Linked DNA regions of Lytechinus pictus. Each later gene encodes a partner of the first gene's protein in a complex. Links are inferred from orthologs where the notes say so. Each region holds a gene or a part of one and is shown in the gene's direction. Other genes may lie near its edges. The genes, in order: eukaryotic translation initiation factor 4E-like and eukaryotic translation initiation factor 4E-binding protein 1-like.

The links.
Region 2: the proteins of eukaryotic translation initiation factor 4E-like (region 1) and eukaryotic translation initiation factor 4E-binding protein 1-like are in contact, whole or in part, in a crystal structure (PDB 4UE8), measured with the Drosophila melanogaster proteins. The link is inferred for Lytechinus pictus from reciprocal best matches to the Drosophila melanogaster genes eIF4E1 and Thor. Residues at the interface, in NP_001261626.1 of Drosophila melanogaster: Lys80, His81, Pro82, Leu83, Met84, Tyr91, Ile107, Thr108, Val113, Glu114, Trp117, Ser118, Leu119, Tyr120, Asn121, His122, Ile123, Lys124, Pro125, Tyr135, Leu174, Asp175, Leu178, Cys179, Ile181, Gly182, Glu183, Phe185, Asp186, Ser188; in NP_001285588.1 of Drosophila melanogaster: Lys51, Leu52, Ile53, Tyr54, Arg56, Phe58, Met59, Lys60, Leu62, Arg63, Ser65, Pro66, Leu67, Ser68, Gln69, Thr70, Pro71, Pro72, Asn74, Val75, Pro76, Ser77, Cys78, Leu79, Leu80, Arg81, Thr83.

The regions. Positions count from the first base shown.
Region 1 is NC_087262.1:23,051,155-23,058,415, reverse strand, and holds the start of eukaryotic translation initiation factor 4E-like, read left to right. Parts: upstream 1-4,019; 5' UTR 4,020-4,054; coding exon 4,055-4,093; intron 4,094-6,230; coding exon 6,231-6,442; intron 6,443-7,261. Other genes in the region: phenazine biosynthesis-like domain-containing protein, read right to left, coding at 8-121. UniProt on the Drosophila melanogaster protein: Recognizes and binds the 7-methylguanosine (m7G)-containing mRNA cap during an early step in the initiation of protein synthesis and facilitates ribosome binding by inducing the unwinding of the mRNAs secondary structures.
Region 2 is NC_087262.1:3,356,282-3,364,185, reverse strand, and holds the start of eukaryotic translation initiation factor 4E-binding protein 1-like, read left to right. Parts: upstream 1-4,730; 5' UTR 4,731-4,869; coding exon 4,870-5,011; intron 5,012-6,150; coding exon 6,151-6,312; intron 6,313-7,374; coding exon 7,375-7,409; 3' UTR 7,410-7,904. Other genes in the region: leucine-rich repeat protein SHOC-2-like, read right to left, coding at 262-429, 1,701-1,844, 4,100-4,166. UniProt on the Drosophila melanogaster protein: Repressor of translation initiation that regulates eIF4E1 activity by preventing its assembly into the eIF4F complex. Hypophosphorylated form competes with eIF4G1 and strongly binds to eIF4E1, leading to repress translation.

The DNA.
Region 1 (7,261 bases):
ACCGTACCTCTTCGGCGCTTGAAATAGGACACACCGCAGCAGAATTCCCCGTAAATGGAGCACTTGCAAAGGCATCAACAGTGTAAATTGGTAAAGACTTTTGTTCGCTTCCGTCTGCCATCTTGAGCGTATAGATGTCACCCGAATATCAGTAAAAATTAATATTTTTTAGAGAGGATTACAATACAAGCACGAGTGGTCTTCTGCTACCGTCCCTCAGCAATGAACTATGAGGCCACGCACTACAACAGAGTTTATTCTTTCACCAAGTCGTTTGTTACATAGTGACATGTTGCATAAAAGAAAACAAATCTGGAAGTTTTTGCCAGAATTTTTGTTCATTTGCCAGAGGTTTTTTTATGGCGAAAATGTTATGCAACATGCCCCTAGCCTATGTGTTCTTTCATGATTAGTGAGAATCTGGGGTGAGAATACATCATTTCCTTTTGATAATTTAAATGTATCATGATAACGTTTTACTGTATAATAATAATAAACAAAATAATTGATAGGTAAAAATAATAATAATAATAATAAAAACTCCACAAAAGAGAGTACGGCAGTCATCTTGGAGGGAATTGCTGACCCCCCCCCCCCTGTACTTTTCACTTCTTTTCACTCAGGCCCCAAATCGACTCGGTTTTGTTTTCTCTGTTGTGATATTGCAGCAGAAAAAATTACAGGACCAAAAAAAAACTTAAAATCAAAACAAAAGCAGAAAGCAGGGGGAAAATACAAAAGAAGAGGTAAAGTGAGAAAAGGAAGAAATAGCGATCAGAAAAAAGAAGGAAGAAAAGAAAAGAAAAAAGAAAGACAAGACAAGAAGGAAATGAAAGGAAAAGAAAGGAAGGGAAGGGAAGGGAATGGAGGGAAAGGAAAGGAAAGGAATTGGAAATAAGAAAAAAAATAGCACAGAAAAAGTGAAGGAAAAATAAAGAAAATGAAATAACCTAAATGAAAAGAAGCCATTCTTCAAGTTTCAAAGGAAAAAAAACCACTATATATAAAAAAGCAGTGGCAAAATATCTTGACTGCATTTTTGCCAGCCAAACCAAACAAAGAAAAGAAGAAACAAACAAATGCTATATTTGGTTTCCTTTTAAGGATAATATATGTCACTTGTGAGCCAGAGGCCGAGGGGGAAGCATCCCCTTTTCTAAGGTGCGGCATCCGTCTTTTCTATATGCGCTATTTGTGTTGTGTGGTGTCATAAGCGGATCCAGGGGGGGGGGGACGATCCCCCCTAAATTTTTTGTTGATAACCTTTTTTTTTTTTGGTTGTCAAAAAATTGTTGTAGTCCCCCCCTAAAATTTTTGGCTTCCGCCGCCAATGCCCCCCCCCCCCCCTATTGGCGGAGCATAAAAAGGAAAAAAATTGGGAAATAATATTTAAAAAAAGAGAAGGGAAAAGAAAGGAGAAACATAAAAGAAGGAAGACGAGTTAAAGAATAAGATGAGGGGAAGACTTGGAAAATTATAATAAAAAAAATCTTTCGTGACACTATATAAAAGTTTCGCTCGCGCTTCACGCTCGCATTGCCTTTTAGGTGATTTATATACAAAACATATTTCAGCTCAGAAATCGAACTTTCATTATTTTGTTTGATTTACAAATTGATTTTTAAATAGTGCTCTGTAAAAAAATATATATTGTATGGCCTGAATATTAACATTTTCTGCTCTGCTCTGCGCACTCGATTTGTCAGGTACCTATTATTTTCCTGTATTCCATAAAGTTCTCAAAATATCCCTATTCAGGTCAGATTGTCAAAACGTATCAGTTAGCGCTGCACGCTCGAATTTTGATTGGTGGGTTATGTATATCTCAATATTAATTATATAACAAACCATTTCATGACAGTTTATCAAAAATTTCGGCTCGCGATTTGCGTTTGCATTGATTGTTGAAAATATATTAACTCATATCTTATTAATAATTACAAAAAGTGCTTTAGATGTCCAGTTTTCAGGCCATTATAGATTTCGGGCTCGCATTAGTCTTTTTATAGATTAATAAATAAGATATTAATTTAATAATCAAATCATCTCGCGCTTAGGAAGAGAAATAGGAAGATAGTCATCATTCTATATGATGACATATGTTCTTAAAGGTCAAATCATAAAGCATAACACTGAAAATTTCATCAAAATCGGATGTAAAATAAAGTGTGTGTATTTGAGTTTTGTCAGACGTGTATCAATCAGATATGATTATTTACGTCTGGGACCGACCTTTAACGTCACCATCCGAAAGACGTGACCGGGGCTCGATCACCTCGAACCTCTGCATCAATTTGTAACTTCCCCACATAGCTTGGATTACAGGCGCACGCAACAACGCCCAGTTATACGACTTTTTTAAGTTTCGCTTATTTTTCACAAAACAGTCATATGCACAACTAGGTGACTCAGTCGATAATGTCCATCACTCGCTATTTCTTTTGTTTTTTATTGTTTGAATTAATATTTCATTTTTTACAGATTTGAAAATAAGGACAAACTTGACTGAACCATATAGTATTAAACAATGCTAATTCCACATGTATTGTTCAGGGAGGAATTAATCGTTGTATCACTTGACAATGAGGAGAAAATTAGAATATTTCATATAACAAAATACAAAAGAAATAGTGAGTGGATGATGTCATAGTCTCCTCATTAGCATACCAGCCAGGATGTGCATAATTATAACTGTTTTGTGAAATTAAGCGAAACTTTAAAATGTCATAACTTTCTTATTTTACATCCGATTTTGATGAAATTTTCAGTGTAATGCTTGTTGGATTTTTCTCTATTTATTCAAATCAACTTTTTGTTGTGGTTGACTTGTCCTTTAAAATGTCCCGGTTATATGTCAAAAGCCAAAGTAATAGCATGGACCTACTACAGGGTAATAGTAATGAAACATATCAGCTCTTTTTTAAGTGTGATCCATGTCTGCCTCTCAATTTTCCTACAATATGCTTGAAATCAAGAGCTTAAATTGACCCCTTTTCAGATCGATATATCAAGCTCGCCCTTCGCGCTCGCTTTATTGATTTTCATGATTAAAAAAAAAGGTATTTAGAATGCCCAGATTCTAGGTCGAAATCTGAGACACGCGCGCGCATATATCTTATTCAGGTACGCAGCTTGCTCTCTCTATTTAAATCATTATCCAGTTTCAGATCATATGCAATATCAAAATGTTTCCGCTCGCATTATTAATGTAGGAACATTTCCAATTACTCATCTTTTTCATGATTTACAAAACATGAATAGATCGAGTGTCCCACTTTTAAGTGTAAATTTTGATTTTTTCCGCTCGCGCTTCGCGCTCGCATCAATTGTTTAGTTATATACTTATCCTTTTCACGAATACAAAAAGTGCTCGTAGAATTCCATACTTCAGGTAGGCATGTCAAAATTTTCAGCTCGCGCTTCGCACTTGCATTATTTGATTGTTGAAATATATGTAACGTCTTCTTGGCTAACGAGCAGCCGTTAATAAATCCTTTTTTGATCGGATCAAAACGTACATTACAAATTTCTGCTCGCGCTTCGCGCTCACAGTAATTATTTAGTTGGATACACACCTCATTTAGGATCACAAACATTGCCCAGAATGTTTAAATTTTAGGACAAAATACATGAAATAAAACATAGCTCGCGCTTCGCGCTCGCATTATTCAAATAAGGCTTAAGAGATTATATATTTATGTTGATTTATATAAGAATAAAGCTTAGAAGTGACAGGACTACCTCTTCAAATAAACAACCACTGAAAAGTCGATAATGTCTTTGTCATTTGCATGAGATGTGCATATGCGCAATATTCTACTTACAGTCGATTCATTGTGTGTTTTTTTTTTTTAATACAGCAGATCTGACAGATTATCCCCCCCCCCCCTTAGTTTGTTTTTTCTTTTGCACTCCTCCTCCTTCGAGGCACGACCCCCAAGACAAATTTGTGTGACGTTTATGTTCTACTTGGTGGTCACTTCATCAATTCTATTTCCACCTGATTGTACCACGTGACATTACGACAGAAGGCCAAAATTGGAACATAAGGAAAATGGCTTCCGTGAATATAGCAAAGCATGTTAATCTCGAGGTAATTTTCTTGCATTTCTGTACCATTTAACTGAGTTAACGATTAATGATCGCTTCCTGATATCATATGCTACGTTCACATCTCGTAATGATCGATGTTTTTATTATTTTATGAGATAAAAGCGAAAGAGTAAGGAGGCTCGCGGTGATAATTTCGCCGGTTGTCTTGCGCTGATATGCTGAGTTGAGTGGAACATGTGCATTGCCATTGTGCAGCCACGTTCATTGAATTGCTAGAGGTCGGAGTGAATTTCGTGTTGTGTTGGTATGTGAGCTGAGCCAAGTTTTTGTGTGGCTATTGCAGTCCTCCCCCAAAACCTAACTTTCATTACCAAAAAAACAGGAGACAGGTTTAGAGAATGAAGTAACGTTAGAGCTTCCTGAAACCAAAAAAGTGGAAATTTAACGTTTGTCAGTCAGTTGAGTGTGGCTCTGTCTCATGTCTGTGCAGTCTGTTGTGAGACTGAGACTGAGTGAGAGTTCAGTTTCCTTCCAGTTCTGAATCCCAATCCTCATCCTGTCATTTCTATTCTAACTTTTAGTTTTGGCAAGTGATGAAGTAACATGAATTTAAAAGCAGGTTAAAATATTATTAAGGCTAAGCTGGCAGCATGATGAAGACGATGCTGGTGTAGTGGTGATGAAAAGTAGATCTATTATCTAGATGAAGATGGTGACGATGAGAAAAATGATTATGATGATGGTGGTGATACTGTCCCTGATAATGGTGATCATTGGTGATGGATTGATGGTGGTGATGATACAAGCCAATAATGGCAGTTATCTACCGCGGTCAGATATCTTACCATTCTCAATCTCTGTGTAAGCAGGTTCATGAAAGATAGGAAGTAGATCTCTAGGCAGTATTTGAACTTGAATTTGAATTTTAAAAGGTAGGCCTATTTATTAGCGGGGGGCAGAATAGGCAGGTAGAGAAGTTGAATGTGATGAAGGGAGAGTAGGCCTATGGTGAAAGCCGGAGGTAAAAGAGGGATGTAATGGAAAGTGAAAAATATGAAAAAAGAAAGAGAGGCATATATAAATCATACATCGTATGCAAGTACATTTTAAAATTAATATGCATATCAAAATATAATTTTTGTAACTCAAACTTTGTTAAAATTTAGGAAACCACGCTGATGAGTAATGTGGAGAAAAAGTAGTATTTAAGAGATTGCAGTTTATGTCATGAGATAAGTAATATAATATGAATTCATAAGATTGGAGAAACTTAACAAATATTTAGTGGCAAATCTGCAATTTGAATATGATTAGGATTTGAATTTTGAAGAATATGGCATTGATTTCAGTGATGATGATGATGAAATAATAGTGATGATAATGATGATGATGGTGATGATGGTGATGATGAAATGATGATGGTGGTGTGATGATGATAAAAACACCAATAACAGCAGATATCTAAACATTTTCCATTTCTTCAAGCAGGTTTAAAGATTGAAAGTGCTCAGGACTGGATTAGAGTGGGGAGAAGGATATTTGGTGATGATGATGATGATGATTATTGATGATGATGATGATGATGATGATCTAAAGAGAAGACAGAACTTGGATATAAACAGAGGTTTAAACTTGCTTTAGGAAGCATCTTAAATGAGTATAATGATGATGAGGTGGCAGGGATGATGATAATTATGATGGTGGTATTGGTGATGGTGATGGTGATGATGTAGTAATGATGCAAACCAATCACAGTATTAAATATCATGGAAATAGCCTAGGTCTCATCACTGATTTCATGAGTAAGTCTGTTAAACCAAGGTGAATTATCACTATATCATCATAGATGATAATTTACATGTAGTAGTACAGTTACTTACACTGAACTTTGTGAAATCATGAAATCTAAGCTAATCACAGTGAAGATTGACTACTCAGATAATCTCTCTGTTCTATTATTGCTTGTTTCTCAGTAATTGCACAATTTCTCCCAGAATCCTGTGGCACGTATACGAAAAAGACACTTGGGTAGTCGTCTTATTGAATTTTGTACGCACTCATTTTGAAATCGTTGCCACAACTGGAATTTATTTTTAATCACATAGATAATGCTGATGTGATGTTGTTGGTTTCAATAATTCTCACTCTCTCTCTCTCTCTCTTTGTAACTCTCACAGGATATTAGTAAAGATGGGAAGGGTGTAAAGCATCTGCAGCAACAAGAAGAAGATCTCCAAAGCGACCAACAAGCCGTAGATCCAGAAAGTCTCATCAAACATCCCTTACAGAGCAGATGGTCTATGTGGTTCTTCAAGAATGACAAAGCCAAATCATGGACAGAAAACCTTAGAATCGTCACAGCATTTGATACAGTAGAAGATTTCTGGTCGTAAGTATCCATGGACCTCCAATTCACTTTGGGTTCCTTTTTTTAATAATGGCAATTTTAATTGGGGAGGGGGGGGGCTTCTAGTATGGCCAGGCTAGGAAAAGATCATTCATCTGCTGACCTAGCACCACACATGGCTCTAATCCTCTGGAAGTACCTTTGTTCTTCTTTGATTACATACATTTAAAGTTATAACATTTCAAAAACTTATTTTGTTTGAGTTTTCAATGTTGACAACACCGACGTCGGAACAGAGCCTTTAGTCTCGCTCTGCTTTGCAGGTGAGACAATAAAAAATAATAAAAACAAATTAAAAATATAAATTATTTGTGGTACATAATCATTAATGATTACAAAGACCACTCGTCTATGGAAACGGCATTTGGAATTTCCCTTGTATACATGTATGTGGCTTAAAACATGTTCACAGGGGCATCAGAGGAGGCCATCTTGGCGGCCATAGTCAAAGTGTTCTGCAGTGGCCCTTGACACAAAGCTGAGCGATTGGTGGTGGGTCTGATTACTACGATTGATTGCATCGATTATTGTGTATGATCAATCGTACAAATAAGCCATACAGTCAATAACTAAACTTTGTATTACCAGACACTGTAGTGGGATTCATCTACATAATGGAGAAAGCTGCCTTTATACTTGGCAGGTGATCTAGAATGTTTATTGCAACTTGAAAAAAATAAAATGCAAGTTTATTTTCAACAAATGAGATGCTTGCATTTGAGACTTGCATTTGTTTGTTTGTTTTTTAGAAGCGTTGAATGTAATCGCAACCCTATCTGTGACAAGGCTCTACACATGCTC
Region 2 (7,904 bases), about 20 Mb from region 1:
AAGAGTAGTTCTTGCCTTACATCACTATGACATCACATATGCGGCCAATTTGAAGTCTCCATGTGTACAGTGATTAATAATTTTCACTTTTAAAAATTCATAACTTTCTTATAGTTTGTACGATATTGTTCAAACTTTTAGCTACAACTTGTCTGAGTTTTCTTCTGCCTCTAAAAACAAGATTTTATTTGGGTAGGATTCCCCCCCCCCCCGGATTCCCCTTTATCTATTTTTTTTTAATACATGTATATACATACTAACCTGTAATATCATTGTGACTCAAATCTAATATTCTGAGAGAGGACAATTCATAGAAAGTCTCTGGCAAGGTGGAGAGCTGGTTATGAGATGCATTCAATGTTTCTAACATAGTCATCTCCTTGATCTCATCTGGAATCTTCTCAACTTTGTTATCTGAAATATTAAAAGCTTCATGAAGAGAAAATACAATGAAATAGGATAGTGCATGCACTAACACCTAAAAAATTCACAATTCAATGCATACCAATGCCTTACATACAGGCGCGGATCCAGGGGGGGGGGGGGCTGAAGGGGCGCTAGCACCCCATAGGATTTTTTTTTTAAGAAAAAAAAGAGAGATGAATTGACCTTATATAGGGGAAAACCTTTTTTTTTTGCTTGTTAATTTTTGGGCGGACAAATTATTGACCTTAAGTTAAATCTAGGGGAAAACCTTTTTTTTTTATTGTCAAATTTCAACTGGGTAAAATGTGCCACCCTTTTTTAAAAATTATGGATCCTGTAGCACCACTTAAAATTTCAACTCTGGATCCACGCCTGACATGTGTATGGAATTGTTCTCTCTGGACATGATGTGACATGTTATGTTTTTGTTTTTTTTACATATGGCTGATTCATTGTTCTTTTTTTCAGCATGACCCAGGATGGTTTAAACCATGGACCAATAAACTATTTACAAGACCTCATCACCATCACCTATGCACCGACCATTTGATGATCATAACATTGTCATTATCAAAGTGAATGGGCAGTTCCAAACTAATTTTCCTTTTTTTAATTAAGGATATATTTCAGGCTAGGCAAGCATTTGCATCACAGAATCGCTCTGTTACAATGTTTATGAGCACTTGGATTTCTGTACTTCTGAACTGCCTGGCATGCTTTCAATCTCTTCAATCAATACCTTTCACATCAATGCAAACTAAAATTGTATATTTATGAATTATTAGTGGAAGTCCTACGCTTCTTTGCAAATTTACCACAAAAAACCTATAAATATCTACTATACAATTAACAAAACACCAATACAGCACTAAATAAGGGAAAATTAAGTGAAATATCAAAATAAAAGCTGCTAGTGTTGTTACAAATTGCATTGTCATATATCACTTATCCTTAAATCTTTGGTGCATGGCCCCCTGTTCAATATAATGATTTTAAATAACAATGACATTAATGAATTATAATAATGATGATGAATGATAATAATAACAATTATAATAATAATGATAATACATAATAATGATGATGATAATATTTATAATGATAATAATAAAATAATATGAATTACAATTTTTATAACAATAATGATAATAATGATAAAATTATCAGTAATAATGAAGAAGAGTGATTATTCATGATAATGATGATAACGACAAGAAAAAAAAATAATAATAATGAAAATATATCAGGGAAATATGCTTTAAAAAAATTCTTACCTGTAACACTTGGAAATTTCATTGGGAGTTTCTTTGACATTATAGTGAGTGCATTATGTGAGAGGTCAATGGATGATAATTGTGTTTTCCTCATTAGATGGTAAACTGCTTGCGGAACCGACTCCAGTAGACAGCTTGATAAATCTGTTGAGTAAAAAGAAAAGAAAAGAAAGAAAGAAAAAAAACATTACGATACTTGAATGGTCAATGATGCAAATAAATAGGCCCTACCATCAGTGGCGTAACAGGCGGGGGGGCAAGCTGCCCCCCCTGGCGGAGCTCACCGGGAAAATACAAAAAAACGGGGAGAAAAAAAAAAAAAAGGGGAGGGAAGGGAAAGGGAAAGGAAAGAAAAAAGGGGAAAGGGAAAGGAAAAGGGAAAAGAAAACTAAGAAAAAACATAAAAAAGGGAAAACGGAAAGATAACGGGAAAAGGAAGGAAAAAAGAAAAAGTGAGAAAGAACAATTCGCCCCGATATAAAAATACATTAGCATGATTAGTAAGACAGGGAAATAAATTAAAGATGACAAAAAGGCAAACAAAAGCGGGAAATAAAGGCAGAATGGAATTAGCCAAAATCTTAATTGGAAAATAAAGAATAGGGACAAGATAACGTACACTACCGGGCTGCCGAGGATTGAGATAACGAGCGGGAAGAAAATTGATGGTATAGCATAATGTCGTATGAAAGTTTATCATAAACTTGCTAAATCTCCAAAGGCTCTGTCCAAGAGTCAAGACCCCGTGCAGTGGGGGCTCTTCATCTGTAACCTTTAATGGGTTCTATAACGGGCCCCTATATGGACCCTTCCTGCATTAAGCTTTATGTTGAAGCACTGGCGTACCGGGGGGGGGGGGGAGTTCCACAGCCAAGGGGAAATATAAAAAAATAAAGGAGGCAGCGAAATGGGATGAATGAAAAAAAATATATGACATGATATTTGCTATAATGATGTAAAAATCTATCACATAATTAGAATTTCATTTTAACAGGCCATTTTTTTTCTGGCTCGCTTCGCTCGCTGGCGACTTTTTACAAATTTTCCCACATTTGCTATGGTGTGCCCCTCACAATATTTGGATGATTACGATACACAACTGTATTGAATTTATGTGTTGTGTTAAAGCTATATAAATATACACGCAATTTGATTAAAATAAGTGGCCATCTGTAAGGTTTAAAATAGCTTTGATATCAAGAGGTTACGGGGCTCTGCCCTGGACCCCACCCATAAAGCACTGTTATATGGATGAGTTTGGACCATGGCCCCAAAAAGTTCTACAACCAAACAAAAAAAAATGAGGAAAGAAAGGAAAGTGTATTATATTTTTTTGAATATCACGTTAAAATCTATCTTCATGTTAGATTCTCATGAAAAGGTGATTTCTTTATCTCGCTCGCTTCGCTCGCTCGGGACCTATATTAAGCTACTTCTTGCCAGAAGCGCCATACTCGGCCCCCCTCGAGCATATACTCATATAGAGCTTCGCCCTGATGCTCACAATCATAACAAAAATCCTGTTCACCGTGGCGTACAAAAAAGAGATAAAAAAGAAGAGGAGGGTGAAATATAATATCATCTTTTTAACATTATGTCAAAATCTATCACAAAATTGGATTTTTGCAATAAAAATGTCAACATTTTTTGCTCGCTTGCTTCGCTTTTATATATATATTTGCCCGATACGCCATATCGCCCCCTCAAAATTTTTGCCTCATGAAGCCATTGCCTGTTCCATGTATGACCGGGAAATTTTTGGCTCTTGCCCCCCCTGGCCACCGACCCCTGTTACGCCGCTGCCTACCATTATATGCCAACACCTACAATGTTCCTTGTTTTGTTTTTTTAAGATTGAGAGAGTGCATATATTATAGCTCTTATTTATTTATTTCACTACATTTACATGTACAAAATACTGCAATTAAAAATTACAAACTACTGTGCAAGACATATTAATAAACTTATAGGCCCTCAATCCTCATGTCTTTACAATTATAAGTAAGATAAGAACTTAATCATGAATATAAATCAAGATCCTCTTTTATTTTGATTATTAATCCATCTGATGTTTTGGTTCTTGAATCTTCAGGTAGGCCTAACTGTACTGGTAAATGAGGAAAAATAGGGGCATCAATAAAACAATAAATGGACGTGTCTAGCTAGCTGCCACGCCCATCTCGGCACTTAAGAGAGGGAACGTCCGGACAGAGTCCAGGCTAGGCCAGCGCCCCCGCCGCCCTGGCCTGATGAACACGGCCTCGCCTTCGGGAGGCCGAGGCGAACCGATATATAGTCAACAGTTCGCTGAATTGAAGGAGACTAGCCGTTTCATTTTCATGTATTTTCCCCTACAACGTTAACCCGAATATTCAATTTCAATAGAACGAAAATATCACCTAAGTTTCTATCTTCTTGCGCCTTTTCACATCTTAATACGACTCTTGTCACTGCTTCTGCTGCCATTTTGGTGAAGATTGCAGTTTCAGTCCGTCCTGATAATTCATCTAAAATAGTCTGAACTTTCAACTATCGCCTTGAAAGGTCATAGCGTTGTGTGCGTGCTTGCTGATATCACGTGGTTTTGTTTACATCATCTTGACATGCTATCGACAAATGTCGTCGACCCATTGGCACAAATCCAAAGCGTAAATTCCCATTTATCTCCATAAAAATCCTTTGAAATTAGCAGATATTTATTCTAATTACATAAATACAGAATTTGTATTACATTTCCTCTCAAAACCCTGATTTTTTAAACACATAAACTAAATTGTTGAAAAAATACATTGTTAATTTCCACAAGACAATTTTTAGTTGATAACTTCAACCTACCCAAATGCACTTGCCAATCTAGTAAGAATATAACATATTCCAAATATTAATTTAAAAATATCAATTTTATTAAGTTTTTTTACTTTTAAAAATTATTTGCATTCAATTTTATTTTTATTTTTTTCAAAATATTTCAAATATGTACATATGAGAAAATCGCAATTCTGTATCACTCACAAAATTGACAAAACTGTTACCGTACCTCCTTGCTGTATCGTCCGATGCGGATTTCCCCTAAATCCGTCATCACAATATTTACCTTCAAAAGAACCCGAAGAACCGTCCATTCCTTTGCAACTTTAGCTGCCCCGCAATCTTCTAAAATTCAAGCAAAATGTCAGCCCCTGCAGCAAGTCGTCAACTCAGTGCTGGTCGGGATATTCCAGCGAAAAGAGTAGCCGTCGACGACCCATCGCAGCTTCCACAAGATTACAGCACAACGCCAGGAGGCACATTGTTTTCAACGACCCCGGGAGGTGCGTACCGTACCGTACACACACAGGAGTACAGCCTACAGGCCTGGCTTCGTCTTCGACCCTCCCGATCCCAGGCCAGTACTAAGTCTAAGCCTTTAGCCCGGGACTAAGCCATAGTTAGCTAACGTCCGCATTTACTTATTTAGGGCCGATTTGATCCAGGAATTTTACACAATGTCTGCAATTATTGAATTAATAATAGCTAAAAAAAAAAAAAAATCAAAAATCAAAAATGGACTATGGAGTCAGATTAGGCCCTATAGCCTATAGGCTATGGCTATGTAATTATTGTAATAAGTTATTGCACTCACATCGATTCTATTTCTATTTAAATCTAATTAAAAATAAAATATACCCACCGTTTCAAATTCAAGGCTCAGCTCTGTGATGAAAATACAATGTCAAAAATATTAGTAAGATATCAAGGAGTCCTCAAGGCTAGGTTTATCCTGAAAAAAAATGATAAATAATAGATCAGCATTAATCATGTTCGGGCTAATCGCTTTAGTTTGATGAGTAAATGTCCAAACAGGTACTATACCAATGCGCATGAGCAGGAATCGCAATTGCTTGTGGGAGTAACTTTAGAACATGTAGAATCCAGTGTCATAAGTGATTATGAGAACAACCTACCTAGAACCCTCTATACTAACTGAAGTTAGAACGAGGCATCACGCATGTATCACATCTGTGCAGTGATAGATTCATGACATTGGATTAAGCCTGCTTGTGTACTAATGCTTGCATACAGAGGGGAAAATGAGGATGCTGAGATGGGGAATTCCCTTTTTTTTTCACTCTGCTGAGCAACACAACACAAGCTTCCTTTATCCTCTTGTAATACAAATCTTGAAGCTGAGATATTTCATATTGACCGAGAAATCAATATGGTTTGCCATACAACATGTATTACAATTACAGTCCTGGTGAGTTTTTCATAAAGCTGTTTCGAAGTTACAAACAACTGGTGATCCTTTCTTGTGGTAAATGGTAGACATCAAATTTTCATTGGTGTTGAGTTCCTAAGAAAGGGTTACCAGTCGTTCGTAAATTTGCTTGTTATATGAAAATGCCCACCTGAAACTTGAGAGTCTGGTTACTTTAGTCTTGTGCATCTCCACCCTTCTTTTTTTCCCTAGGAACACGCATCATCTACGATCGTCACTTTTTGTTGAATATGAGGAATTCTCCACTGAGCCAGACTCCTCCTAAGAACTTGCCTTCAATTCCAGGAGTGACCTGTCCAGAAGTGACCAGTGACAAACCTAATGGTGAAAGCAAGGCTCCAAAGAGTAAAACAGGTACACACTATACATTTCAATATTTTCAGGCAAGGCCACTTTCATAACATCTGAAGGTATGTTTCTGCATTACAGCTCAAATGGAAAAAAAAAATTCTAAAAAGGCACAATAAATCTCTGAGGCTAATGAGAGGGCCGCTAAGGCCAATGAAAACGGCATCAACCGCTAGTGTTGGGTAATATGTCTAAATTCTATATCATCGAAATTATGTGATATTGAAAAATATTATTTGATAATGATTTTATGAATATGTTGATATATCACAGTAACACGATATGCCCAAACTATTATTATGAAAAGATAATCACTAGTGATTGACCGCATGCTGCTCTGTATTGCTTTAAACCAACTCAGTTTAGTTGACCAGTGCCCAAATGCCCTCTTTTCAAGGACAAGCACCAATGGAAGTCTTCTTTCATTTCCCCCTTCCCTGCTCTTGCGGAATCACTACTCTTAATGGACATATAATGAATTTTCAGACTCGGCGATATATTGTGTTATCAGCGAAATTTTTCTGGCAATAATCTATTCACATTTAGATCAAATATCGACCAGCACTATCAACTACCATGGCTTCTAATGGTCTTGGGTAGTCTTGGGTTTAATTAATAATTTATTAACAGCAGGGAAGTTGTATACATGGGAGGGGGGTATGTGCCCACTTCCCTTTTTTAACCAAAAAGTTGGTGTCTCCACTGTCTTAAGTCGCTACCTTATAATTTTTTTTATATTCTTTATGTTGTAAGAAAAAAAATCCTGGATTTGTGATTGTCAACCAGACACCTAGTCAAACAAAAACTTACAGAACTTCATGAATTCACAGGCCTTTGGATTAAGTCTATATTAGTAGTTTGAACACAGATGTTTCAAGAATAAATAGCACTTGATGAAAATTTATTATGCAATGTGACAACTTTTTTTTGAAGATTTCATTTTTTGAATTGTAACAAAATTGTCATGTTTAGCCGGAATGAAATATAGGCATGCACTTGTTATGATTCACACATGTTTCATTTCTCTCTCTCTCTCCCTCTCTCTCTCTGTCTTATTCTCTTAACTAGACACTGCTGATGATCAGTTTCAAATGGACATCTGAGACGGAGGACCAACATACAGATGACAACTGTCTAAGAAGGCTAGTTAAGACAAAATAAGAAAAGATGTATACTGCGGGTAAAGAAGATAAATGATCCTGAATTGTTTATTTCACCATCGCAGTTCTGTTTGTTTTGTTTACTTAAGTTCCTGATGGGGACAAATCTGAATTTATTCTCAATATTATGGTATCAATCATGTCCTTTCATGTAAAATCAAAACCTTATCATAAATATGGGTATTTTTTCCAAACATATTCTCCAAAGATAAGCTAGATTGAGAAAAAAAAACTAAGGTTCTATTAAAATCTCCTGAATAAAGATGTTGTTATTCAAACAAACAAGGGGCAAGATGCTTAGAAGTGTAGCATGAATATTAATTATGATATGAATATTAATTATGATACACAAATATAACACTAATCAGTTCTCCTTTGTGTTTGTTTTTTTCTTCTCTCTATCAATACAAAGTACATATATGTTTACAACACAGATAT